Diceros bicornis minor: one gene and its partners. The protein of the gene in region 1 interacts with the protein of each later gene in a pairwise test. Links are inferred from orthologs where the notes say so. Each region holds a gene or a part of one and is shown in the gene's direction. Other genes may lie near its edges. The genes, in order: TNIK, NEFM, SPTBN1 and PPM1E.

What was found.
Region 2: the proteins of TNIK (region 1) and NEFM interact in a two-hybrid assay, tested with the Homo sapiens proteins (2 studies listed by BioGRID and IntAct). The link is inferred for Diceros bicornis minor from reciprocal best matches to the Homo sapiens genes TNIK and NEFM.
Region 3: the proteins of TNIK (region 1) and SPTBN1 interact in a two-hybrid assay, tested with the Homo sapiens proteins (2 studies listed by BioGRID and IntAct). The link is inferred for Diceros bicornis minor from reciprocal best matches to the Homo sapiens genes TNIK and SPTBN1.
Region 4: the proteins of TNIK (region 1) and PPM1E interact in a two-hybrid assay, tested with the Homo sapiens proteins (2 studies listed by BioGRID and IntAct). The link is inferred for Diceros bicornis minor from reciprocal best matches to the Homo sapiens genes TNIK and PPM1E.

The regions. Positions count from the first base shown.
Region 1 is NC_080754.1:50,589,414-50,596,348, forward strand, and holds the start of TNIK (TRAF2 and NCK-interacting protein kinase), read left to right. Parts: upstream 1-3,919; 5' UTR 3,920-4,261; coding exon 4,262-4,318; intron 4,319-6,935. UniProt on the Homo sapiens protein: Serine/threonine kinase that acts as an essential activator of the Wnt signaling pathway. Recruited to promoters of Wnt target genes and required to activate their expression. May act by phosphorylating TCF4/TCF7L2.
Region 2 is NC_080750.1:68,933,006-68,939,855, reverse strand, and holds the start of NEFM (neurofilament medium polypeptide), read left to right. Parts: upstream 1-3,826; 5' UTR 3,827-3,873; coding exon 3,874-4,953; intron 4,954-5,670; coding exon 5,671-5,795; intron 5,796-6,850. UniProt on the Homo sapiens protein: Neurofilaments usually contain three intermediate filament proteins: NEFL, NEFM, and NEFH which are involved in the maintenance of neuronal caliber.
Region 3 is NC_080751.1:31,959,651-31,967,127, reverse strand, and holds the start of SPTBN1 (spectrin beta chain, non-erythrocytic 1), read left to right. Parts: upstream 1-4,473; 5' UTR 4,474-4,636; intron 4,637-7,477. UniProt on the Homo sapiens protein: Fodrin, which seems to be involved in secretion, interacts with calmodulin in a calcium-dependent manner and is thus candidate for the calcium-dependent movement of the cytoskeleton at the membrane.
Region 4 is NC_080757.1:28,983,362-28,990,687, reverse strand, and holds the start of PPM1E (protein phosphatase 1E), read left to right. Parts: upstream 1-4,325; 5' UTR 4,326-4,407; coding exon 4,408-4,859; intron 4,860-7,326. UniProt on the Homo sapiens protein: Protein phosphatase that inactivates multifunctional CaM kinases such as CAMK4 and CAMK2. Dephosphorylates and inactivates PAK. May play a role in the inhibition of actin fiber stress breakdown and in morphological changes driven by TNK2/CDC42.

The DNA.
Region 1 (6,935 bases):
GAGACATTTTTGTTTGTCACAACTGGGAAGATGTTATTGGCGTCTGGTGGATAGGGACCACGGATGCTGCTAAACATCCCACACCACACAGGACAAGCCCCCACAGCATGAATTATCAGACACATGCTGAGGTTGAGAAACTCTGCCTTAGAACAAGTGAACCAAGAGAACAAGGTAAAAGCTGAATTGCCTTTTACTTCCCAGCTTTAGAAGTCGTCTGTGTTCTATGTTGGAGGGATCTACAAAGGGTTTAAATACCAAGAGGTGAGGCTCACAGGGAGCCATCTTGGAGGGTGGCTACCATAGGCAGGAAGCTTTCCCTGGCCCTCTTCTCTTCTCTTTCTTTCTTTTCTTTTTTAAGTTTTCAAAGAGGAAAATCATTCTTATAACCCCCACCAGACTTTTCTTTAGTCAGTGTTGCATGATATGCCTTTGTCTAAACTAATCATTAGGAGAGAGAATAGAATTACTGTGAGGAGTTTAGACTATTTAACATTCACTCTCCCTCTGGGGCTGGGGAGAACCCATATTCTTTAAACACGTGGAGGATAAATTCTCAAAATCAGAATTTTCCTAGTAAAGAAGAAAGAGAATGACTTTGAGTGGATAACAGTCTGCTACATTTGCTTACCATTGTCTTTTGTGTGGCACATTTTTTTCTGGATTCTTTGGTAGAATATATTTTCCAATGATAATTTAAGAGATGATCAACCATTTGAATCCTTATGTGTCTGAAAGTATGTCATTATTCTATACTCTTTCTTAAATGTTACTTTAGTTGGGTAGAGAATTCTAACAGTTCCTTTAGAATACTTTGTTCCATTATCTACTAGCATCCATTGTTGCTAATGAGGAGTAGGTGACTAGAATTTTCTTTTTATCCTTAATGCTCTGAAATTCCATCATGATGCCTTAGAGTGTAGTATTTTTTACTTATTCACTAAACAGGAGATTTTAGCCTGAAGACACTAGAACATTTTCTATCATTTCTTTAAGTATCTCCTTCCATCCATTCTCCAGATCTCCTATTAGATGAATGTTAGAACTTCTAAATTTATTCTCCATATTACTTAAAATTTTGCTCATTGCTTTATCTTTTTTCCTGCAATCTGGAAGAAAACTAGGCCCAACCTTCTAGTTTACTAATTCACCCTTCAGTTCAGCCTGAGTCAGTACAGCATGGTGATTAAGAGCCTGAGTTCAAATCCTGGCTCAGCCATTTATTACTGTGTTGTCTTAAGTAAGTTAATTAACCTTTCTATTCTTCAGTTTACTCCTCTGTAAAATGAATATGCTAATGATATTGCCTACTTTATAAGATTATAAAGATTAAATGTTAATATATGAATGCTGAGAAGAGTATTTGCAGCAAAGTATTATTATTGTTCAATCTATCTATTCATTTTTAAAATTTCAATAAATATATTCTTAATTAGTCCTCTAACTGGTTTGTTTTCATAACAACCTCATTGTTTTGTGAATGTAAGATCTTGTGTTATCCCTCTGATGATTAAAAAATATATACTATAAAATTTGTTTTTGCTCTATTAAAAATAACTTTGGGTGTTCAATCATTTGTTGATTGAAGTTGGTCTCTCTTTCATAGTAATAGATTTCTAGGGATGATTGGCAATTCTGGGTTGTCTGTGCATCTTAGTGTTTGGAAATCTGATTTGCCTATCTGTGGTGCCAATTCTAATTCTGAGTGCTTGCTCTGCCGAGGGGGGGAGGGGGGCAGGACAGCACATGGTACAGGGCAGGGGATGCAGGTAGTTTGCTTTCTGGGTGTGTGTTCCCATTTCTCCTGGCAATTGGTGAGCAGCTCCCTGGGGTGATACCCTGTCTAATAAATATTTTATTTATTTATTTTTTTTTGTGAAGAAGATCAGCCCTGAGCTAACATCCACGCTAATCCTTCTCTTTTTGCTGAGGAAGACTGGCTCTGAGCTAACATCTATTGCCAATCGTCCTCCTTTTTTTTTTTCCCCCAAAGCCCCAGTAGATAGTTGTATGTCATAGTTGCACATCCTTCTAGTTGCTGTATGTGGGACCCGGCCTCAGCATGGCCGGGGAAGCGGTGCGTCGGTGCGCGCCCGGGTCCGAACCCGGGCTACCAGTAGCGGAGCCCGGGCACTAAACCGCTAAGCCACGGGCCGGACCTGGAGTTTTAAAAATAGTTCTGTTCATAGATCTCAATATCTGATCTTAAATTATTTTCTTTCAACATTGAGACAATACATTAACCTGTCATCTAGATTAAGGATAACAAAGGGACAGAGAAGGGAAAAATAACGATGTTGATGGGAAATGATAGTTTTTAACGTCGTTTCGACATTATTGGTGGCTTACTGCACGTTACTTACAACCTCGAGCTGGATGATTTTATTAAAAACATGAGAGATGAAACCGAGCGTTTTGAATACAACACGTTTAAACGTTTGACGTTTTAATGGTAAAAGCTCCTAAACATTACTGTTGTGGCCACTAAGATGTTGGAATAATCTCAAGTTTCATGATCCACAACGCACATAAATAGATACAGTAATATTAACAAACACAGCACAGCGTATACCGAATGCTGTGTCAAAGTCTTGTAAAGCCTGGAGACGCGATGAACTGACTGCCTTGGCTTTCATTCATTCACTCAAAAGCCTTATTCTGAAGCTGATATTCACATCACACAATTAAAAAACCCGCAGAGCACTTGGCCAGAAGTAAATGCTCATCTTAACAGAGGTGCAGATAATGCTTTCAAAGCTACTGCTGTATTTGGGGGAAAGTTCAATTTTAGCGTTTCTTCGCATGTATTTCGCGTGCCCACCAGGGCTGGAGAGGAGGGGCTGTGCGGGGAGTTGGGGGAAATGACTTCACACGCTTGATAACAGAATGTCGTGTTTACCACTGTAAACGTTCAGTCTTTAAATGAGAAAGCGGGCGGAGTAAAATCGCTCTCACGCGATTTACATACATTTTACGTTCCATCTTCTTCCCCCAGCCAAACTTTCTCCATCAATCTGGGTAGGTCAGCCGCGGAAACGCTGCCTGAAGGGGAAATGCAGGGTCCTGAGGCGGCGAGTGTTGCCATACCCAGTCTTGCTTTTGGAGTTACCTGAAGCATTCAAGCTACTGCACCCAGAGAACAAGCTTCTCGTTTCTATTCGGTCGTTTCCGTGGGGAATTGCGGCACGGGCAGGTCCTGGGTGTGGCGATGCCAAGAGGGAGCTCAGATCTCCCAGCTTTCCCGCTTCTGGCAAACCTTCCCAGCTCCGAAACGGCGAGTGACCGGCCCTCGAGACCCGCCATCCGGAATCCCAGGGACCGCTGGCAGACCCGACCCAGCGGCCGCTGCACATTGCCAAAGCGCGGGGCTGGGCGCGCTGTGCGAGTGCGCTTCTCCCCCATTCGTTCCGCGGCTGGAGGCGGATCCCCTTCCCAGCACACAAGTCCTTATATGCACCGGTTGCACCAGCCCGCGTTACTCCAGCCCCACAAATAATTAATGGGGGCGGGAGGGCGTCGCTCTTTTTTTCCTCTGGATTTTTTTCAGCGCTAGAGTATTTGAACCCTGTGGAGAAACCCCCAGATGCGATTGAAGGGCCATTTTGCTCCAGCGCATGAACTGGACACACAAAAATAAAGCCCCCTTGTCCTCACGATAAGCACGGCAGAGTTCAGGGACAGCTCTTCAAATCCGGCCGGATTAGCCAGCAAAAGCCTGGGCGGAAAGGGTGCGCGCCCCTCCCCCACACACGTTGGTGCAGAGCGACCGGGTCAGGAAGCGCGGCCTCTCCCCAGTCGGAGACCACGCCTCCTCCGCCTCCCCCCCCTTTACTCCTCCCAGGAAGCGGTGATAGACAGTTCTGTGTGGTTCTCCACCCCCACCCCCCCCAGCTGAGTGGAGGAGTTGATGTGTCTCATTATAACAGCCAATGCAGCCGCCATCCACGCACAAGCAAAGAAGCATGTCCCATTTAAATACACCCACGCAGCCCCAGCGCCCTTAGCCGATCAGGGCGCGCAGCCCACACACACCGCGGCTCCGGGCTTGGAGATCCGCGCAGGTTGGGCTCCCGGACCCCGCGGACCGAGGCGCGGAGGATCGGGATCAGGCGCTGTGGGGCGGGGGTGGGCGGGGGAGGCTGGGCCCCGGGCCTCTGGCGCGACACCCGCATGAGGACGCGAGTGAGATAGACCAAGGTGGAATTTCCAAGGGAGAAGCTTCGGGGTGGTTTTGGTCCATTTCTCCGGCAAAGAAGTAGACATGGCGAGCGACTCCCCGGCCCGCAGCCTGGATGAAATCGATCTCTCGGCTCTGAGGGTGAGCACGTTTTGATTTCTTTCCAGTGGTTTGGGTCAGGGTAAATGGGCTCGGTGCGTGGACTGGGGCTGGAGCTGGTGGGCAGAGGTGGGGGAATGCGACGCGGACGGAACCTGGATTCTGGTTTTGATTCCGGGCTGTTGAGGTGCTCTTGGCTAAGCCCCCACGGCAGGGGCTGTGCGGTACGTGTCCTCCTTCGTTTGTGGCCGAGGCTCCCCCGAGGGCACGTGGAGCTTATGCCAGTTTCATCTTAGACCGGAGTAAGAGCATTAAAATGAAAAGCTCGTGTGTGTGTGTGTGTGTGTGTGTGTGTGTGTACACAAGCTCCGGGCAGTCGTCTCGTGCCAAGGCGCGAGACCCCACTGTCCCTTTCTGCAAAAAGAAGAACAGCGTGAATAAAGGCACTGGGTCCTCACGTTTTCCAGCTACCTGCAAGATGGTATTGTGAGCCTGGCTCTCCCCACGAAGCCGAACCTGACCCTCCAAGGGGACAGCTATTGCTATGCTAGTCTTGTCGATGGCAACTGCCGCCCCTTCCCCCTTTTCTGCCCTCTGCGCCCCGACTCCCTCTCAGCGCTCTCTTAAATGCCAGTCTGTCACTCACCTTTATTTATGGCTTTAACTCAGCCCTGCCTGTGCTTTCCGACTCTGTGGCTGTGACATTTCAGTTTTATGGCTGAACTTAAGCAGGTGAAAAGGATGTGTTCTCTGCCTTTCCCCAATCAGACCGGAACTCCCGAGAGTGAGTGAGTGTGAGTGTGTGTGTGAGTGTGTGTGTGTGTATTTTCCCTGTGTCTTCGGCCAGTCCTTTGTAGAGCCCTTCCCTTCCCCTCTCGGCCCCGCTGGTTTGCATTTACCTTCACGTGAATTGCCGTTTCATTGTATTGACTAAGACATCACTGGTATAGAATCCATTTTGCTGTTGTTTTGAGATGAGAATACCAGGAATCCCAGTGCAGCCCCGACGCCACCCCACCCCCACCCCTCAGTCCCAACACACTCCTTTGGGGAAGGGGGCAGATTTTTCTTGCCATTTTAATTAGATGCTGCCTGCGGGGAAGGGGGTGAGGGGTGGGGGTGGCAGCAACAACGGGGGGACTGAGAAGGATTGGACACCAATTGAAGGACGGCTTCTTCCTCTCCTGAACCAAAAATAAAATTAAAAAAAAAAAAAAAAGCCAAAGCCGCTTCATATACTTGAGGCATGGAGGGTCGGTGAGACCGAATTGATGGTGGCTCTCAACGCGGAGACAGGCGGGATGGGTGAAGCTCGGAAGTTCACACGCCCTCCCGAGGAATACATTGTTAGACTGATGCTAAATCTCGGCGCTGTGTACCTGAATCTTCAGTACTTGTGACATTGCCTCCTCATCCACGGTTATTTTAAAGACTTACCTTTATGGTCAAAGTGGTACTTTTTCTTTAGTCTCCCCAATCCCCCCTCCCTATCCCCCCCTTTTATGCTCCCCTTCCCTTTCTCCTGAATCCTTCCATCCAAGAGGTGAGTTTTCTGCAAGGCAGTCAAGGGGTTGAGAAGGAACAAGAGATGCCATTTGAAACTGGCTTTTTTGATAGTTGGGCAGCAAAAGCCCATTCATATGTTCGTACAGTAAGCCGTCTATTGCCCTGGCGCCGAAACGCCACATTCAGAACCCGCTGCCCCCTGGGCAGCTGGGGGTGGGGGTTGGTAACAGGGTGGGTGCTTGGGCCAAGTCTGTGGCTTCCTGCTTTATAGACTGTGTTCATTTGCCCTACTTTCTGCGCTGGGAGTTGCTGCCAGCGGGTTAAGCAGGTGGATAGATGGCCCAGACTTCAGGGTAGGGGAAAGTGGCAAAGGCAGGGCATGAAGTCTGAACAATGGGCAAGGCTTGTGATTTCCCTGAGCTGGAATCTCGACGTCACTCCTCTAATGGAAAGCGCTCTGATGTGATTTTTAAGTTGGGCTCAGTCAGAGGTCTCTCTCGTGGGCTTATTTTCCTGGGGAGGGTTTTCTGAGATACCGAGCACAGAGCCTGCAGGCTTGTGAGCCACCCTGAGGGCCCACCAGCTGGCCTGGAGTGCAATCCACACATGGGAGGGCTGTGATCCTGAGATCTGTGTTTTGAAAAGATATCTTTGCAGGATTCACTGACATTGCTCTTTGTGGCCTGGGCTTAGTGCTCTGCCTCTGTTATTTCTGCCTGCAGGAGGTGTGGAAAGAGAGGGCTAGAGCGAGCTCAGGAGCTGGGGAACTGCTGGCTGGAGAACTTAAATGCCCATGTGGAGATAGATGCATCCAGAGGGCTAGGGTCTGTGACCAGCCCTGTGGTGGGTGAGGTGTGCAAGCCCCGAGTGGGTTCAAAGGCCACATAGGTAATCTCCACAAATCAGAGGGCAGATCATCTCTCTGTCTTCCCAAATCAGGAGAGGTGGGCTAATCTAGATGAGAGGTCCATTTGTTCCTAAATCCTCAGTAAAGCCAGCCTGCTGAGAACCTCCTGGGGAATGCCTGACCCCTGAAATGCAGCCAAGGTCAGTGGCTTCTAGGAGAATTTGATGCAGCCTTACCAGTCCCTTGCTGTTTCGGTGGCTCTTTAGTGTACACAGTCAATGCTCTTTTTGTAAACCCTTTGCTCAG
Region 2 (6,850 bases), on another chromosome or scaffold:
AATCAAAAAGACCAAAAGTCAAAGCTGCTTTTACAGTTTGACATCCCGAGGCTCAAGTAGAAATAAGTACTATAGTTTTCATTTTCCTTATGTTCCCACTCCAGGGTCCTCAGTCCCTACGTTTCTACAACAGCCCGTTAAATAATTAGCAAAGGACAATTTATAAATAATCACTCATCATGTGTTGTAGAATCAGATCCCAGGCAAAAGGATCAAGTTTAAGACATCTCAGTATGTTGAGAGAAAGTACAGTTCACCTAGTCTTACACAGATTAAGCCTAGAACCTGACAGTGGCGTCTTCCATCCGGAGCATCTTGCCTGCTGTCGGGTTCCCACATTCCACCCTCTTTGCATTTTTGTGCATCAAAAAAGTGTTCTTTAAAATGTAAGGAAATACGGGAAGAAGAAAGAAAATGCCCAGCTCCTTATTTTTCTAACCTTATTTTTTGACCCAATGAATAAACCCCTTATGCAAAGGATATTTTCCCCATTATCATTAAATAAGACCTCACAATAGCTGTCTCAACTACAAAGTTAATGTTTGTACTTTACCTACTGAACGAACACATAGCATACTCTGTGTTTCCCTATAAAGTGATTCAAAACACACTGAGCTTATGGTACAACAATCCAGAGATAATGTCATTAAAAATATATTACATCTAAATCATATGTGTAACTTCCCTATTTGGAATAAACTATAAAAGTATCATAGTCAAACTCAACAGTGTTGTAAATTCAGATAAATCCTCATGCTTCTTTTCTCTCTTGTTAACGTTTTCAGAAGATTCCGTAGCCTTCGTGTCAATAGAGTAAAAAAGGCAAAACCTTACATTTTTTTCTATCAGAAACATTAGAGTGGTAAATGTTCTTCAAAAATATGAGACAAAGAGGGAAAAATGAATGTCACAGCTTTTTTTTAAAAAGTTTTTATAGTAAACTCACTGATGGGCATAACCTTCAAGTCACCTTCAGGAAGAGTGATTAAAGTGAAAATTCTAATATAAAATAAAGCGTTTTGTTAAATATGGAAATGGATCAATCATTTTTAAGCCAGAGGGAACTTTTTTTCCTCAGTAAGACAACTGTTATAAGTCTCTAGGTTATCCTACTGCAGCCACACTGAACAATACTTCATGTGACATTGAAGTTAGAATTTTAAGCTAGAGGCACTAACTAGATTTGGCCTGAGTAATTGGCTATTATTTTATTTGTACACAATGCTTTCCTCCTTCTGTAACCAGTTGGAAGCTTAACAATTTCCGAGCTGGTTTAGGTAAAAGGCAAAACAGGTTAATTACGAAGTTAGACATGTGTTTCCTCGTAAAGGTCTCTCTGCAGAGTCATCTCATTTTCAAAGCCCTGAAGAAAACTAAGAGCAGCAGCCTGCCCGTTAACCGTTTGCTCTCATCGCAGAAAGCGCTTTCAATGCATAGGCAACGTGAAACGGCCAAGGGTTTCTCTATTTTTTAATAAAAGCAGAAAGTAATAAGTAACTAAGGCATAATTACTTCACAATTAGCATTTGGTCTTATCAGATGGCATCTTGCAGTGTCCAACCTGGAGACTGTCAGTACTTCACAGAAGGGCAGGGAATTTTCTTTCTCTTTTCTTTTACATATCCACCTGAAACCAGAAAATCCTGTTTTCACAATATTCACAAGTCAGTCCTCTCACTCTATCATCTGTCTCGCCCAACAGCTTGAGACATGGGCTCTCCTTGCCTGAAAGACAACCCGTCACTCAGCAAACTAGAACATCCTTCCCCCACACAGCCTGCAATGCTGCAGTTACCCAGTAATGAACCAAAAGTAACTCCCTAACTTAACCCTTTCTATTTTAAAATACAAATGGGCCAATAGATCTTATAAAAATAAAAAATAAAAATAAAAACCTCTAGAAACCCAGGCCTTTTGTGATTACTTGCTGATTGATATGATCTTGTTATTTAATAACACAAGGACTAGAGAAAGCAGGCTGTGAAAAGAAAATATGTAAGTTTGGGGTCTCTACTTTTCACAAGCAGTGGTTTCTTCTCAGCCATGGCAAGCATTTCACAGGCACTCACTGTGCCTGTGGCCCCAGCAAACTCGGTCATTAGTCCTGCTTCCTGCTCTTCACTTTGTCGTGCAGTATTCTGAAGTTTTTTACCCTGAATTGCCCCCAAAGCACTATGCAAAAAGAGGGACATTTTAACAGTTAGCAGTGCACCAGACAGCAGGAAGTCTGTGTAGATTCCTTGCTTAAATAAACATGTTTAAAGATATGGAAAAATCTATTCCAAATCAGTCCTTAAAATCTAAACAGGGAAATATATTTTAAATGGAGGAAAAAATATCTCGTTTTGTTCAAGGTTGTGGTGAATCGGTTTGGCAACTTTTAAATTAATTTTAAATTAATTCAGATGTTTTTCAATCATTGCAGTTACATACAAGGAGGACTGAACAGAAAGATGACAAAGCAATTGCTTGTGTTCAAACTTATCATAAACTATATTTCCCTGGACTTTTCATCTCAGCAGATTTCAAATTCCCATTTCCAAGCAATATTTGACCTTCAAATTTCAGGCCCTGGGTCTCTTGATTTCCTGCATCCATCATATGTTAAAAAAACCCAAACTAGGCTACAAGTATATTATTTGTTACCTAACTTGAATGAATTTTAGTTGTTTTCAAAATCTGCAATCTGTAGATTGTGCCAACCCCGCATTGCAGAGAAATCTTAGCGTGCGATTCCAGCTTGGCTCCTGCAAACAGAGTCACTACAAACAGGCTTTAATTGTATTTACTCGGAGAGAAGAGGGGGAAGGAAACCCCCGCCAACCTGACAGGCCCTGCTGGGTGATGAGCCCCCGGGCAGCTGGATCTCCCGGCTTGCCGGCCTGGGCGCTGTCCTTGGTGCTGCCGGCGCCATAGCAAGCCAAGCGCCTTACCTTCTGCCCATGCGGAAGCTGCGGACGTCCCCCAAACGTTAAGCAGAATGTAGCGCCATATCCCACTTTTAATACAAATAACTACCCCGGCCCATCCTCTTTGTCCCCTTCCCGAAGGCTTCAGGCTGACCGTTCCTCAAAGTCTTTTTGTTTTTTTCTTCTAGGCCCAACTCCTCTGCGCTCAACTCGGGCTGCTTTAAGACAAGGAGTGGGGGAAGGGGAGGGAGGCAAGGGGAGATGAGGATGGGGGAGGGGAGGAATGTAGGGGGAGGGGAGGAAGAAGTAGGGGAGAAGGAGCGGACGGGAAGGAAAAGGTCCAGGAGGAAGGGGCTCAGAGAGAAGGGCGGAGTGAGTGGGACTAGAGAAAGCTTAAAGAGGGACGGCGAAGAGATGCCAAAAAGAGGGGGAAGTGATTAAGCACAGAAGAGGCGTAAAGAAAAAAGTAATGGAGAAAGGGCAAAAGAAGAGAAAGCCATGAGGATAAGAGTGAAGAGGGCTAGAAAAATGACAAAGGGGCCAGCGAGTCGGGAGAAAAGCTGCCCGAACAGCGGCAGAGTGACTCAACAAAGAAAGGGCGTTGGGTGAATACTCGCACCGAGAGCGTAAATGCAATCCAAAGGTGAAGAGAAATGGAGAGAGGGGGCTTGAGGGGCGACAAGTGGTCTGGGACCGAAAGGAGAGCTGGGGGAGGGGCCGGGGCCAGGGCAGCAAAGTCCGGGGTCCAACGCAGCGTGGGCCCACGTGGAGCGGGCGCTGAATCACTGTAGGCTGTCTTTACCCCCCCACCCCTCCTCCCGGCCCGGTGCCCGCAATCCCCGCCTCCTCGGCCGCCGCCTCCACGGGGCGGGGCCCTGGCCCGGGTCCAGCCGCCGCGGCTATAAATGGGCTGCGGAGAGGCCAGCAGAACGCTGTGACAGCCACACGCCCCAAGGCCGTCAAGATGAGCTACACATTGGACTCGCTGGGCAACCCGTCCGCCTACCGGCGGGTAACCGAAACCCGCTCGAGCTTCAGCCGTGTTAGCGGCTCCCCGTCCAGCGGCTTCCGCTCTCAGTCATGGTCCCGCGGCTCACCCAGCACCGTGTCCTCCTCCTACAAGCGCAGCGCGCTTGGCCCGCGCCTCGCCTACAGTTCGGCCATGCTCAGCTCCGCTGAGAGCAGCCTCGACTTCAGCCAGTCCTCGTCCCTGCTCAACGGCGGCTCCGGGCCGGGCGGCGACTACAAGCTCTCCCGCTCCAACGAGAAGGAGCAGCTGCAGGGGCTGAACGACCGCTTCGCGGGCTACATCGAGAAGGTGCACTACCTGGAGCAGCAGAACAAGGAGATCGAGGCGGAGATCCAGGCGCTGCGGCAGAAGCAGGCCTCGCACGCCCAGCTGGGCGACGCGTACGACCAAGAGATCCGCGAGCTGCGCACCACACTCGAGCTGGTGAATCACGAGAAGGCTCAGGTGCAGCTGGACTCGGACCACCTGGAGGAAGACATCCACCGGCTCAAGGAGCGCTTCGAGGAGGAGGCACGGCTGCGCGACGACACCGAGGCGGCCATCCGCGCGCTGCGCAAAGACATCGAGGAGGCGTCGCTGGTCAAGGTGGAGCTGGACAAGAAGGTGCAGTCGCTGCAGGATGAGGTGGCCTTCCTGCGGAGCAATCACGAGGAGGAGGTGGCCGACCTGCTGGCCCAGATCCAGGCGTCGCACATCACAGTGGAGCGCAAAGACTACCTGAAGACAGACATCTCGACGGCGCTGAAGGAGATCCGCTCCCAGCTCGAGTGTCACTCCGACCAGAATATGCACCAGGCGGAAGAGTGGTTTAAGTGCCGCTACGCCAAGCTCACCGAAGCGGCCGAGCAGAACAAGGAGGCCATCCGCTCCGCCAAGGAAGAGATCGCCGAGTACCGGCGCCAGCTGCAGTCCAAGAGCATCGAGCTCGAGTCAGTGCGCGGCACCAAGGAGTCCCTGGAGCGGCAGCTCAGCGACATAGAGGAGCGCCACAACCACGATCTCAGCAGCTACCAGGTAGGAACCGCGGCTGCGCAGCCAGCCTGCGCCAGCGCCAGCGCCGCGCGCCCCCGACACTCAGGCACGCGCCCCGGCGCGCTCTCCGCCGCGCTCCCTGGCGGCCGCTGGTCAGTGCGCGCGCGCGCGCGCGCGCGAGCCGCCGACCCAAGTCGATGCGCAAAGCTGCCTCGCCACTCTCCGTCCTTTCCACACTCCTCCCCACCCACCATCCCCAGCTCCTAAGAACCCTGACCTTTTTCAAAACGTGCTTCTTTTCCTCGGGAGTTCTAGTTTTGCACGCTTGCACATTTAAAGTAGGAGGTATACATTCGGGTAGTTGATAAAGCAGCAACTTTAGGATAGCTTGTGCAGAACCACATGCATTCTCAAGTTTTCCGGCCGTGATCGAAAGAATACTCAAAATTGTCTTTGGCCCAAAGGGGTCAGATGGGAAGAGCTAGGTCAGCCGTGGGGTTTCCCCATGCATATTTGTTTCCTGTTGAGACATATTCTAGATCCACTGGTCTCAGCGCATGATGTGTCTAGAAAGTGTCTTATTGATCCTGACTTTTTGAGAATTCCTTAGATTTTTTTTTAAGGGAGGGAAAGTGGCTAGGTATCCTCCTCGAGGGTTGCAGAGCTGGAGGGAGTCGGAGTGGGAGCGGAGAGAGGGTAGCGAGTGGTTTGCGAAAGTTGCTGTTTGGAAGGATGAGTCTGTGGCTGTGTCTGTTTCAGGACACCATCCAGCAGTTGGAAAATGAGCTTCGGGGCACCAAGTGGGAAATGGCTCGTCACTTGCGAGAATACCAGGATCTCCTGAACGTCAAGATGGCTCTGGATATCGAGATCGCTGCGTACAGGTACCGTGATCACTGCGGACGTGGCCGAAATGCTAACTGGCACTACAAAGGCTGTTCTGGCAGAACCTTCACCACTCTAACTTAAAGCAGACAGGTTGCAGGAGTCTTAAATCAGTGCCGGGTTTTCTTTCCCAATTAAAAAGAAATTATTCTAAAGAATTGCAGTTATTGCAGTTATACAACTTTCAAAGTAAACAGTTGAAATAAAATGTTTTGAAGGAGAGCACCAGTTAATTTCAGTGCTTATGCTTAAATTTTTTTATTTTAGTGAAAAATTTTTTCCCAATGTTTGGAACAAAAATGGAATTTTAGTTTTTAATATTTCATCTAGTGGTTTCAGCTTTTCAACTTTATAATGTCAAGGACAAACACCAGGAGATTCAATTTCTCTGTTTCTCTCTTAGAGCTTACTATTGCCATCAGCTGGCTTAGAATAGATACAAATTGATACATATATATTCTATTACATATATATTCATACATATTATATATATATTCTAATACATATATATTCTGTCTATTTAGATTTATGTGTATAGATCTAGATATACACAGCCAGAGAGAGAGAGAGAAGAGATTATAGGTCTACTAAATGATATCAACTTGCTGTTGACTGAGTTCATAGGAGAAAATCCTTGACTAAACAGTTTTTCTACTACCAATAAGGTCATTATAATATTACAAGAATAAATTGCACACAGGAATAAATAAATTCCTGTCTAACTTTTCAGGAAACCTGAATAATTATATTAAATAAGCATTTTATGGTCAAAATTGCAGACCAATTTATAACTTGATACACTCATATTAGCACCTCGCTATGATATATATATATATAGCCTAAATTCTGATATATGCTAAATAGTTTTGTAAATTTTTTGAACATTATATTTGCTAAAAGAAATTTAGTATACATTCTGAAAGTCCAAATGCTCAAGAAGGTTACTCAGGTTTTTTTTAGCCACTTAGGGAGCTTTTCAGCATATTCATGTTGCACCATATCAACTGCCTCAGAGCTGAGATTTGGTGGCTGGGTGTGGTTGGTGGACTATTGG
Region 3 (7,477 bases), on another chromosome or scaffold:
TTTTTAAGTGTACAGTTCACTGGCATTAAGTACATTCACATTGTTTTACAACCATCACCACCATCCATCTCCAGAATTTTTTTCATCTTGCAAACAGAATTACTTTTTAATAATTAATATGCAATGACCAGACACATAGCTCTGATATACTAGCTTCTAAGCAGATATCTCTGGCACTTAGTAGCTGTGTAAACTTGGGCAACTCATTCAACCTACTAGTGTCTCAGTTTTCTTGCCTATAAAATGGGGTTAATATCTACCCCACAGAACTGACAAAAGGACAAAATAATATGACATTTGCTAAAGCACGTTAAAAACTGGAAAGTATTTTATAGTCGCTGCTTATGATTATTAAAAGAAAATTTGAAGATCGTTTATAGAAAGCTGAGACTGTTTATTCTGATCATTTTATGTTATTTCTGTATATTTAGATTACCATATATTCAGATTTATCACATATATATTTTACTTATTTATTGATTGATTCTATCCCCTACTAGAATGGAAGATCCATGAAGGCAGTGATTTTTTTACTGTTTTGCCCAGTGCTCTATTTCAGATCCTAGAACAGATTACGGCATATACATTTCTCAAATAAATGAAAAAATGAATTATTTTATACAATAAATGTATTGTTAGTACTCAAAAAATACTCACTCATAATAATGACAGTTTAAACATGTAAGTCTTTAAGTTTTCCCAGGGCAAAATTAATACATGTGAATAACCAAATGGAACATTTCTAATCTGAGGAAACTTCCCAGACTAGCTCGGGGTTAAAAAAAAGTCGTTTCAGAGTAAATAGAAATGAAAAAAATTTATTCAAGTTTTCAAAATGTGTTCTGATTTTTAAATTTTAGGCTATTATCAGTACAATAAAAGATGGATTTTAATTGGGTTAATATAACCAAGGAAAGACTTAAAGTAGCCGGCAGTGGCGCACAACAGTACTGTGCATCAATATCTGGTTTCAGATGTAGCCTCATGACTTGCTTTGGCAAATGAAATGTGAGTGGAGGAAACCTTGCATCATTTCTGGGTGGAAGTATTTAGTTGCTGGTACTTAACCCTCCATCACACTCCCCCTACAGTGGAGATTGTGGAAGCGCCCATTGACATGGAGGTACCATAATATTAAAGTATTCTGGAAAACTGAGCTGACACATGGAAGACAGCTTCCCCAGAGAGTATCTTGAAACCACAGTTGGCTTTATATAAGTAATAAATTAGCTTTTGTTAATTTGGGACTTGCATATTATACTGAGATTTGGGGACTGTGAGTTATAACATGATAACCTAGTCTATAGTGACTACTATATATGTTGACAAGATTTCCTCCTACATTTTGAATGGAAAGTTAAAATAACAATTTATTTCTGCAAAATTTTTGTAATAAAGTACTGCCTCTATGGGAGTTAAAGCCATATATAATCACATGGTTTTAAAAATGGAGAGGGGTATGTTACAGACATGATATCAATGAGTTCTAGGTTCCTTTACATCAACCTTGATGCTAATGTGAAGTTACACTTCAGCAAAGCTGCTTTTGAGATATCTGAGAATAATTCTTTGTTACCATCATTACTGCCCAAGGCTTTTTATCTTTTTCTAGATTCTTGCTTTCCACAGAGATGTATTTCTTCTCCAATAATCTCTTCAGACTTAGACTGTCTTTTCTTTGACCTGTTACTTTTTTTTTTGGTCGGCGGTACACTGGGCTGTCCTGGGTGATGATATTTTTCCACCAAAGGGTAAGAATTTGAAATTGTGAGGCAGGTATTAATAGTGAAATTTTGAATCCTTGTCTTTCACATTTTTGGAATACTTACTGCCACTTTACTAGAGTACCTTGCTAAGGTTATGTGAGGCCTCCCTTTTTGAAGGAAATTTTTAAAAGTAAGTGGGAGTGAGCGGCCGGCCCTGTGGCTTAGCAGTTAAGTGTGCGCGCTCCACTACTGGCGGCCCGGGTCGGATCCCAGGCACGCAGGGAGGCACCGCTTCTCTGGCCATGTTGAGGCCGTGTCCCACATACAGCAACTAGAAGGATGTGCAACTATGACATACAACTATCTACTGGGGCTTTGGGGAATAAAAGGAGGAGGATTGGCAATAGATGTTAGCTCAGAGCGGGTCTTCCTCAGCAAAAAGAGGAGGATTAGCATGGATGTTAGCTTAGGGCTGATCTTCCTCACACACACACAAAAAAAATTAAAAAAAAAAAAGTAAGTGGGAGTGGAATGGGGTAGGGGAGGTGACTCATCCATCAAATGAAGATTATTCAAGTACTGTTATCTGCGATAAAGGAAGCAGTCAAGAGACACCAATTCAGAATCACACTGGAAAAATTTCAACAGGCATTTCCCAGTACTGCCATTGTTTTCTTTGGTTTTCATCAACACTGTGGGTGGGGAGGTGCTGGGGGCCGTGGCACAAACTAAGTGAAAGGGAAACAACTCTCATTCCTAGTGGATTTCCTGTATTACCTAATGAGGGCAGCCCTTACATGCCGATTCTGTTCCATTCAATTCAACCAATATTTTTTGATCACCTTCTAAGTGCCTGCTATGTACAGTCAAAGAACCTGGCCCTTGGACAGTTCCCCTTCTGGCTATGTTAATCAATCTTCTGAGAAAAATGTTAAATTACTTGCCTTCATTGTTTTTCATAAATATCAAATGTAAACATTGATACAAACATTCAAACTGATGGTGAATGCCTAAAAGGAAGAATCATTTTCACTTTGCTGGGACAATTTCATGTAGTTTTATTTTAAAATGTTCATTTAAAAAATATATACAGGGGCCAACCCGGTCGCACAGTGCTAAGTTCTCACGCTCCGCTTTGGCGGCCCGGGGCTCGCAGGCCTGATCCTGGGCGTGGATCTACCCACTGCTCATCAAGCCAGGCTGTGGCAGTGCTCCATAAACAAAATAGAGGAAGACTGGCACAGATGTTAGCTCAGGGACAATCTTCCCCACCAAAAAGAGGAAGATTGGCAACAGATGTTAGCTCATGGCCAATCTTCTCACACATACACACACACAAAATATATATACACACAAATATAAACCCATCAGGCTTCTGGTCTATTGATTTGAAATATAAGCATGACCCAAACTATTTGGCTGCCTTTTATTTCTACTTTTTATTCAGGGGTTGAGGGTCAGATCTCTAGGGAAAAAGGGGCTTTTTCAACCCAGAAAAGCCTTCTTCCTTCTGAAGGCTTACAGTGCCGCAGTTGGACACCTACAGACCAAGCAGAAAGTCACTTTCTCCAGACTGCTTTCTAAAGAGCGTTTCTATTCATGGCCCTGGTGATGACACCATCTTTTTTCCCCAACAGTGGCGGTTCCAGAATTTCTACATAGCCTTGTGGGGGTTGACAGGGTGGGCAAGCTGGTTGGGAAGGGGCACTGACAGTTGAGAAAAATTCGAGAAAAGGTCCGGAGTCCGTCTCGTACTGTGGGTAGGGGGAGAACTCCGGCCCCTCCAGCCATCGCAAGGCCTCCACTGCAGCCGGGACGTCCCCTCTCCGTAGGAGTGGCTCCGGAAAAGCATCGCTTCAGGTGAAAGTAAGCCTGCGTTTGGGCGAGAGGCAGGAGTTGGATGAATCACTTGTGGGGTCTGTTCCCAGCTACCCCGAGGGAAAGGATGAAAAAGCACTCACAACGGAGGAAGATCTTGACTTCACCGAAGAACCACCTCCCTCCCCTCATCGCCCCAAGGTTTCCCACGGAGAAGTCACTATCGCTCTTCATCAGGCTGAGCGGAACCTATAAGGCAACACCACCTAGATCTAAAACCAAACCAGCCAACCAACGCTCTAAACCCTCCCTCAGCACGCTCTCTCCATCGCGTTCCAAACGCAAACATCGCGGGTGAAAAGAGGCTGCACAAGTCACGCAGAAAATTAAGCTGCGCCTTTCCATGGCGATAATCGAATTAGCCTCAAATTAAACGTGAAATTGGCCCTCGCCGGCTGTGGGGACAAAGCCCTCATTGTCCCTCTGCTCCGGTAGCGGCGGCGACGGTGCCCATCCTGCCCAGGCCAGCCCCGGCCAGCCCCCGCGGCAGGCGACGAGGTCCGCGCTGGGCGGGGGCAGAGCCTCGGCGGGGGAAAGCGTGGACGCGCCCCAGGATCCGCTCGCGCGCGGAGCAGGCTCTGGGTGAGCAGCTGCGGGGCTGCCAGCAGGGGCGGGGGCAGGCGAGAGGGAGCGACCGAGGGAGGGAGGAGCGGAGGAGAAAAGAGGAGAGCGGAGGGTGTGCGGGAAAGAGCATGTGCGCGCGCGTGTTGCGCGCACCCGGCGCCCGCGCCCGCGCGCTCTCTCTCCCCGCCCCTCGCCCCCTCCCTGCGCGCTCCCTCCCCTCCTCCCGCCCACCTCGCGCTCCCGCCCAGCCCCCGGAATCAGTGCAGCTGTTGCCGTGCAGGCTGCGGATTCCTCCAGTCCCTCCCTCGGCCGCCTCTCCGCCCGGAGCAAGCGCGCAGCCCCGCGCAGCAGCGCCCACTGGTCCCGTCCTGTGAGCCCCGGCCCCAGCCGCGGACAGCCCCGCGGAGTCGCCTCCCGGCCCACCCGCCCGGCCGCCAAGGAGCGGGAGGAGGACGGGACTCCGGCGCCCCCACCCCTATCCGCGGGAGGTAGGTAGGGGGCCTGAGGCTGGAAGATGCCAACTCACTGGGGCTGCCTCCCGGGCAGCGGGCGGGAGGAGGGGCGCGGGCCCAGGCCGGGAGGACGCAGCTGCCCTGCCGCTGCCTTGCGCCGGGGGAGCGGCGTGGGGGCGGGGAGGCTGCAGAGCCCGGGCGGGGGCGGCGCGGGAAGCCTGGGTCTCCAGTGCTAATTATTGCTAGGGTTATGCGGGGCAGAGGGCGGTGGGCTCTGCAGTGAGGCGGCCGCAGACCAGCGGTGCGCACCGCGGCCGCCCAGCCTCATCCCCGGGCGCAGTGGCGCCGATTCCTTCTCCCTGCGTCCGCCGCCGCCTCCCTCCAGCCAGGCGCAGCGGCCCCTGGCGCGGGGGTGGGTGCGGAGTAGGCTGCAGGGAAGGTGTATTTTCAGGTGGCCTCCCTCTAGTCCCGGCTGGTGGGGAGCGGGGCGGCGTTGACAGGGCCGGGCTCTAGGCTTAACGGTACGGGGGATGCTGCCAGGCGTGGTCCGAACTGCGCTGCGCTGCAGCTGAACCGGAGGCGGCGGCCCGGCGCCCCTCACCCCCGCCCATCCTCGCGCCCGCTCCCCCCTCCGCGGCCGCTCCCCGCCCTCCCTGTCGTCCCCACTCTCCCAGTGCTGGGCGTGAGCCGCCTCGGGGCACCGAGCCGCCGCTGCGCCCGCCCTTGAGCTCCTGCCACCCTCTCTTCAACAGGTTTGTACCAGCGCGGAGCCCCTCCGGGCCTGCCTTTGGGGTGGTAGGCTGGAAGCCCCTCTCGTCATCATTCCTCACACCACGCTCGTGGCCCTCTTTTTCGGGGGGGAGAGACTTCCCTTTGTTTTTCTGTTAGGAAAGATGCCCAGTGCTTGCCATCAGATGGGGAGGGGAAATGTGGGGATCAGTACACAAACCGTGTCCATTTTTGCAGTCAAAAGCCAGGCCCGATAGTAAGTTAGGAGAGGACGAGTGTGGGGGTGCTTCGGTGGGGGAGAAAAATGGATTCGGTGGGGTTTATTTGGGCGGGGATGTGCTTTTTTGGCAAGATGGATGGCTCACGGTGCCCTCGCCGTGATGCAGCACAATGCAGCAGTATCGCAGCCTCCCCTGGTTCTCGCTGGCGGGGCTTGGCACGGCCACTCGGCGCCTGCGGCCCCCGCCCGGCCCCACCCAGGCCCGGGGCTGCCCTTGGCCGAGACTCGGAGCTGCGTCTACCTTGTCATGCTGCTTCAGCTGGATGTGGCGTCAGGAGGACCAGGTCACCTCGCTGTGAGGGGGGAGGCTTCTCTTTGGGCTGACCCCCTTCCGCCCCGCCTGTTGGGCTATGCTCGGATGAAGGGGCGCCCTGCAGCGCTAATGCGGGCAGAAGGAGCCGGCCTGCGGCTGCGGACCGCAATCTGATCTCCGACCGAGGGACCTGAACCGTAGGGAGGGGCAGCAGGGAGGACGGGGCCCAGCGGTGTGCGGAGGCAGTGGTGCATTCGGTATTGGGAGTCGCAGCGTCTTTCTGTGGATCACCCATGATCTGTAACTACAACCCCACTATCCTTCGGTTTCTTCATATGTGAAAGTTCATGTTTATTAATTGGAGCTTCGCAGCTATGACATTACTGTACCTCGGTCTTTGGTCAATACGGAGAAGGATTTTTTCCTAGAGGAAACCATTTTTTGAAATGAAGCGATTGATATATTTTAGTTTTTGTGTCCTTGAGGCATTTCTAAAAATACTGACATTCAGTAGATTGTTTTAAAAGGAACCTATTTTTTGATGGATAGTAAATGGTTTCTTTAACCTGTATTTGCTTTGTTTTTATTGTTTGCTTTTTCTGTAAATCAAGTACAATTACATATTTGGATTCTTTATTAAGGATTATTAGGTAAATGAGTGTCATAATTGATGGTAAGTACTCAGATTGATTTAGATAGGCAAGTTGTCTCCAGTTATGACTAATGGGATTGTGATGGTAACTGACTGCGTTTATGTTTGTTTATATGTATTTTTCGTATAAATATTTTTTGCAGATGTGGCTGGGGAGGGGGTTGAGAAAGGCAGACCCCCAAGGCCGCTGTGGCTGTTATCTGGTCAGAAGGAGATGGTTCCCTATGTCTTGTTTAGTCTAGACTAGTACACAGGGAATTTTTCTTCTAAATGCCACTTCGACAATTCATTTATTCAGTGTGGAATGGCAAATGAGATGCATTTCAAATGTCACCCCAGCTCTTCTAAAATGTATAGGTGAAAAAGAGAATTTAGTATTCTAACTGGAAGGGAAGGTCAGTGTTGTAAAGCAAGGGCGTGTCTACTTTTATTTTTTAAATCTCTAATGAATCCAAATTAGTGGCATTTGATTTTATGTGGCTCTGCAGAGTAGAACTGAATGCAAATTGTGTGGTTTATGTGCATTATTTTGAGTTTCTCTGATAGAGGGCCATTAAAATGTAGAACTTTTTGGGTTTGGCCTTCATTGTTGTGCTGGTTGTATAAAATCATGTTGCATAAAGATGTTTGGGAGTACTGTTCCCATGGATTATCCAGACATTTTGGATTTACTACTGTGTTGTAAGAAAATATCCTGTGTTGATGTCACAGGAGGTTTAGCTGTTCTGACTTACACACCAGCTGCAGAATTCTGTTAGATTAAGCTCTTTGTAATTCTGTGTCTCTGAACTGACCAAAACCTTCAACTGAGAGGATGAGAAGCGTTGCGGCAGTGAAGAAACTGCCAGCGCCTGGTCATCTTCTGTTGTGCAGGCTTTCTGTGAAGAGCATCTCTTGGGTGAGACTAGTAACAACTGTCTGAGATGTTGTAGGAGCTAGTGAGAAGGCCTCACTCTCTACTTG
Region 4 (7,326 bases), on another chromosome or scaffold:
TTTGATGAGTGGTGTGTAGGTCTGCTCCTGGGATCCAAACCTGTGAACACTGGGGGCCGCCAAAGCAGAGCTGCAAACTTAACCATTATGCCACCGGACTGGCCCCATGGACTTCCTCTTTAAGGGCAGTAATCCCATCCATGCGAGTTTTGCCCTCATGACCTAATCACCTCCCAAAGGACCCACCTCCTAATACCATCACCTTGTGGTTATGATTTCAGCATATGAATATTGAGAGAACACAAATATTCAGTCCATAGCAGGCAAGATGAGGAAGCTGGAACCCATTACCATCTCTAGGACAAATGGAAGAAGATGATGTTTCTGGAGCTCAGGGGCTGGTGTCAGAGGCAAAAGCTGGAATCCCAGTGGACATGTTCAGAGGGAGGAGAGCTACAAAGGAGATGCAGCAGTCATTAGGACTGAGGTAGGGAACAGAGAAGAAATATCCTGGCTTTTCTCCTTTCCTCCCACCTTCCAATTTCCTGAAAATGCCTCCCACTGGGCAAATCCCAGCTGGAAGTCAGCTGTCAAGGAATTTGGTGGATATATCCTGAAAGTGTCAGCCCCCCTACAACACAGAGCATAGCAAAGGAGAGAAGGAATGGATATGAGAGCCAAAAAGGACAAGTACTGACAAGGTAATCAATTATTTTTAACTTTTAAAATCAACTTTACTGAGGTATAATTCACATACAATACACTTATTTAAAATGCACACATTGATAATTTTTGACAGATGGATACACCTATGTAACCACTAGTTAAGATATAGAACACTTTATTTTTAATTTTATTTATTTATTTTTCCCCCCAAAGCCCCAGTAGATAGTTGTATGTCATAGTTGCACATCCTTCTAGTTGCTGTATGTGGGACTTGGCCTCAGCATGGCCGGAGAAGCGGTGTTTCGGTGCACGCCCGGGATCCGGGCCCGGGTCGCCAGCAGCGGAGCGCATGCACCTAACCGCTAAGCCACGAGGCCGGCCCAGAACACTTTAATCATCCCACCAAGTTTCCTCTTACTCCATCGCCATGAATCCCCCACCCAATCTCAGCCCCAGGCAACGACTAATCTGCTTTCTGTTACTACAGATTCGTTTTGCCTGTTCTAGAATTTCATATAAGTGGAATCATATAGTATGTGCTCTTTTGTGCCTGGAGTTTTTTTACTCAGCATGTTTTTGAAATTCATCCATGTTGTTGGTTTATCAGTAATGCATTTCTTTTTATTGCTGAGTTACTACTTCCATTGTAGAACTACATCACAATTTATCTATTCACCTATTGATGGACATCTGGGTTATTTCCAAGTTTGAGCTATTATGAATAAAGCTATTGCAAACATTTACATACAAGGTTTTTTGTGGTGTGTGTGTGTGTTTGGTGGACATGTTTTCATTTCTTGTGGGTAAATATCTGGGAGAGGAATTGCTGGGTCATATGATAAGAAACTGCTAAACTCAACAATTCTTTTTAACCTTATAAATTTCATTACCATAAATGTCCAGGAAAGGACATTGTGCATTTCCTCCAAAGAGCTAAGGGTTAGAGGAAAAACAATTCTTTTTTTTTTTTTTGTGAGGAAGATTGGCCCTGAGCTAACATCTGCCAATCCTCCTCTTTTTGTTGAGGAAGACTGGCTCTGGGCTAACATCCATGCCCATCTTCCTCCACTTTATATGGGACGCCAGCACAGCATGGCCTGACAAGCAGTGCATTGGTGCGCACCTGGGATCTGAACCGGCGAACCCCAGGCCGCCGCAGAGGAGCGCATGCACTTAACCATTTGCGCCACCGGGCCGGCCCCGAGGAAAAACAATTCTTATGGAAAAAAAACTCAAAAAAAATTTAAATACCCTTGATGCATATGCTTTTCATAGCTCCATATTTTTTGATAGTAAGAAAGTAGATAGGGAAGTATAAGAGGAGAGGAACTGAAAAAGGAAAGTAAAGCAATGCAAAATAATGACTAAAAAGACTTCTTGACAATGGCAAAATCATCCTACAGCTGCTCCGAGATCCCAGCACTGCTCTCAGCAACCTTCTGGCAAAGCTACTGTGTCAAATGGATGCAATAAGATCCATATTGATCTTATGTGAAGAAATATCTTTATTAATATAAGCAAACACCTCTCATTTATAGTAATATAGAGGTGTGGGCTTTTCCTTTTACTCCTAGTAGTAATGTTTCCCCAACATATAACACTTCCTTTTGATATGTGGGTTGAGTCATAAATTAATGTCACAAATAAATGTCACCCAGATGAGGGAGGCAACTACATTACAAAGTAGGAAGGTGTAGCTTGATATGAATTGTTACAGTTGACAGCTCTGTACTCTTGAACTTAAATGTCATCATGTCAAATTCTGAGATATTAAATAGCTGTTGGAATGTAAAATTGTGGATATTTCAGTTTGTAGTCTTAAAAGTTTCGTCAGTCTTTTCTAGACATTCTGAAATGGAAATGAACAGGTGGATTGAAAACAAAGGCAAATGAGGAGTTTAAAGAGTTTCTTGGCATCTCATAGAAAAGTTGCTCTACACTGGTGATGTTTTAAACAAAACACGTATAAATACATTTAGCTTGTCTGGAAACAGAGTTATTTATTGGATCTTCCCATTTACCTTTGAGACAAAAATAAATAGTAATAGAGGACTCATGTGCATTACTCACAATATACTTTCTATCATGTATTATTTAATCTCAAGCTAGGAGAGAGAATGAACGTCTATTTTATGTGATGCCATAATGTACATTAGTGAGCTCAACTTACTTAATCTTAAAATAACAGTATCAGGTCAGGGATTTAGAATACAGTATTATATGAAAACAGTTAGCAGGGAGACTCCTTCTTCTGCCATTAATAACTGACTAGAAATGGTATTTAAGACCCTAAATCCAACTGAAACCCAGAAACAATAAATGGAGAGGATGGGGTGGATCATTTTTGTGAACATGTTTTTCAAAGTAGAGAAAGATCACTATGTTTTTGCTGAATTATATGTTGCCATGGACATGGCAGTATGCAGTAATGATGCTATCATCTGTACAGCTGTTTAACAACACAGCTTCTGCCTCTTCCACCCCCCTCAGTAAGGCTTGAAAATAATAGGTTTGTGTGTAGTTTGGTAAGAAAATTAGAATCATTTAAAGTCGTTTCAGTTTCAATCTAAAAAAGAAAGAAAAGAGGCTTGGGGGGATGGGTAAGAAGAGCAAACAAAATGTAGGAAAAATACATATTATGTAATAAAGTATAATATGTATTATGCAGAGAGTAAAGAGAAGTGTTTTGGTGTGCTGGAAAACTAATGGCTTTGCAGTGAAAAGACCTGATTTAGTCCTTGTTGCATCACTTGTGTGTGACCTTGAGCAAAGTCACAATGTCTTTAAGGCTCAGTTTCCTCATCAATAAAATGGAATCATAGTGGTAATGTCCTCTGTCTTAAGGCACTGTTGTAAGAACTAAAGGGATAAAAACAACTTGTAAACTATAAAGCCCTATAAAAATAAGGCTTTAAAGACATATTGCAATGTTGACTCTTCAGAGGCAGAGAAGAGTAAAGGAAAAAAGGTCTAGAAGGCTTTGGAGGCTGACAACCTGGGTTCTAATTCCAATGCCATGGTTAGTAGCTTTGACACCTTAAAGCAGGTAAAGTGTTTAATCTTAATACTGTTTCTTCTTTTTGAGAAATGAGGATAACACCACTTTCTTGACAGAATCAAATGAGAGAACGTATGCAAAGGAAACTACCACTTGGTATGTGTTTGATGCCCCTCTCCCCAAACTGCTTACTGAATGAGTGTTCTCAACAACAAAAGGTGTTCACAGTGTAGTATCTTTCAATAGATAAGGAGGCTAAATAAGGCAAGACAGGAACAGATAAGGAAAACAGGTAAATCCAATATAAGCGGGAACCAACAGCTAGACTTGGAGATGTCTTAGTTCATTCTTACCCACTTGAGGGTAGGACATCCATACAATAAAGATATTCAGTTGGAGAGCGGAAGAGTCGAGTGTCCTTTCGACCGCGGACTCGACGGGAGGGACCCTGAAATTCTTAATTAGAGCCGGTTGCCATAGCGACAGTCTCCAGGCAGCGCGGGCTGAGCTCTCAGTAGGGCTAGAGGGTGGGCCGCCGCTGGACCCTGCGCGCGCGCCCGCCACCAACTTTCCCTCCAGACCCGAAAGGGGCTGCGCGCTCCGCCCCCGCCCCCGGCCCGCGCACGTCCGTGCTCGGTGGCGCGCACGCCTGCGGGAGCCCTCTCCAGGCAACCTAGTGCTGATCAGTCGTGCCGGTGCGGCCGTTAACCGCCCTTGCGGGAGCCCGAGGCTCGAGGGCAGCCTCCACCCCTTCCTGGGCTTTCCCCGACCCACTTCCCGGTCGGCCCCGGGCATGAGCAGCGATGGCCGGCTGCATCCCTGAGGAGAAAACTTACCGGCGCTTCCTGGAGCTATTCCTGGGCGAGTTTCGCGGACCGTGCGGCGGCGGCGAGCCCGAGCCGGAACCCGAACCTGAGTCGGAGCCCGAGCCCGAACTGGTAGCGGCTGAGGCGGCCGAGGCTTCGGTGGAGGAGCTCGCGGAGGAGGCGGCCACGGTAGCCGCGACAGAGGAGGGGGAGCCAGAGCAGGAGCAAGACCCCGAGCCCGAGGAGGAGGCGGTGGAAGAGGAGGCGGTAGCGGCGGCGGAGGGCGAGGAGGAGGAGGCGGCGGCAGCCCGGGGGCAGTCGGCCGTGCCGCCGCCGCAGCCCCAGCTGCCGCCGCTGCCCCCGCTCCCGCGGCCGCTGTCGGAGCGCATCACCCTCGAGGAGGTGGAGGGCGAGAGCCTGGACCTGTGCCTGCAGCAGCTCTACAAATAGTTAAGTAGCGGGGCTCGGGTGGGGGTGGGCCCGCTTCCCCGCCGCGCCGGCCGCGACGCGGCTCCCTCGGCCCCTCAGACTGCTCTCTTTTCGGCTCTTCCCCTGCACCCGCGTCTGGCGCCGCTGAAAGCGCCCCGGCTGCTCGGACTCGGGCGGATGGCTGCGAGCTGCCCACGCCCGCCTCGGCCCCCCGCGCCCTCCCGCCGGGCCCGGCCCCTTGCTCCCGCTTCCCCTCGGCCGCCACTTCTTGCTCCGCTTCACACACCCTTTCCCCTTTTGTGCCTCGGAAGGTCTTTCCTTCCAGTCTTGAGAGCTCCCTCTTCTTCCCAGCTGGCTTCTTCCTCCCAGAGGTTTCCTCCGGGGTCTGCCGTTTCCCAGTCTGAGTCCCCTGTTGTTTGGCGGCAGAGAGACTCCTTTCTAGGCTGTGCTTCGAGGTGCCTCCTGCGTAACGGCAACAATGATGATAATACCGGCCCCATATCCACATGAGGAGAGATTGGAGTCGATTTTTCCGTCAGCCGCTCAGTGTTGAAAGTGAAGAGCTCTTTAGATGGCTTAATACACAGGAGGCTAATATCTTGGTTTAAAGATATTTGATAACGCACAGTTGAGGAAGGTGGGAAGAAATTGGGAGGGAAGGGTAAGCAAAATTTTACGAGCGAGACTTCAGGTGAAAGACGCCTGAAAAAGTCATAATTCGTTCAAGTGAAAGAGTCAGGCTGGTTTGATAAAATTGCAATTAGGTGTGGTATTTTCAGTCCATTAAGTAGATGGAGTAGGGGAGAGAAAGCAGATGGCTTAGCTCCACAGATGAAAGTCTAAAATAGAAAGGTCAAGGCTTTGCCTTTCATCCCAGTTCTGGTTTTTATGGGCTTGAAATAGAACGGTTTACAATTGCCTTTCTTTCTAAATGGAATTGTTCTGAAATAATGACAGAGGAGAATGCTAACAAGTCTCTGAAAACATTGGTAAACCTGAAAGTCTTTTGCTATTCTGCCGATAGCTGTAATGAAAGGTGTTACCCTAGCCCCTCCCAGAAAGTTTACTGCTGTAAGAGTCCCTGCAATTAAGTTCACACTCATTTCTTGGATTTTCTCAAAAGCCCAAATTAAGAGAAGGGCCTGGAAAGTAAATGTTTTGTCTTCATCCTACCTAACAGACACCTGGTCAAATCATTTTTCCTGTTAAAGCAGAAGCTTGTCAAGAGAGAAAAAGCATTTAACATATCTTCTGTAGAAGTGGACTGTGTGGATGTCCCACACTTTATAAGCTATTTAAAATTTAATTTTGAAATACTATCCGATTACCAAAGTAACAGTACTTTTTGGGAAATGTACAAAATAAAATGGCTTGTGATACCACCACTCAGAGATAAACAGTATTAACATTTTAGAGTATTTCTTCCTGGTGTTTGTAAACTATCATAGAAAAGGGCCTATGAAATGTCATTTTTTAGCACTATATAAGGACACTTAAAACTTCCTGCTTAAAATAAAATGGAAATGTTTGCCAAAGTGGAAGAATTTATCTCAGCATCAGACTAATTCTGTTTTGACAGTTCTTACCTTTACAAATGCAGTTGCAGAATTAAAGAAACACACATTTAAACATTAGAGAAGGTCCATTAAAAAGAGAGTCATTAATTTAGAACAGCCATGAACATTTGCCATTCGAGAAGGTTTTTTGAAAAATGAAATATGTAAAAAGATGATGGTAAGATATGTGTTTTTCCATATGGAAAGGAAGCAAGATTAATTTCGATACACATAAACTAGAAAAAATATTCAGATGATAAAATAGCCATGTAATTGAAAGCAGAAGTTTGGATTTGAAGTAAAACTAGCAAAATTTAAGTTGGAAAATATTATTTCACGTTAAATCAGAGATTTCATCATTTATACTGTGTTTTCTGCAGAAGCTACTAAACAGTTTTATTCAGGTATAAAATGGCTGGCTTGTTTATGAAAATATCTTCAAGGTCCTTACCAGATTAAAAAAACAAAAGCAAAAAAGCCCCTCACAGTTTAAAAAAATATACTTTCAACACATTTAGTTTTTATTTTGTTATTTATAAAAGAAAATCATGACTTAGTCACAAGAATCAATACTGGAAGGCACTATTAGAAATAGATTATTTTTTCTGTTCAAGCACTTTATTTTACAGATGAGAAAACTGTGGATCCAGATTCAGAAATGACAAATTATGTACAGATGATTCCAACATTTCTCAATATACTCTCTTATCCTCAGAACTCTCCCTGACATATTCAAAATGTTGGGTTCTCAAATTTCCTAGGAAATACTTTGAAATAGTTCTGACTAGGAATATGTTGGAATTGCTTATTTGGGGAGGATGAAGATTAAAAAAAAAAAAATCTCAAATACCCACCCACTCTGTTTATTTTGGGAATTTTTTTTTTTTTTGTGAGGAAGATCAGCCCTGAGCTAACATCCGTGCTAATCCTC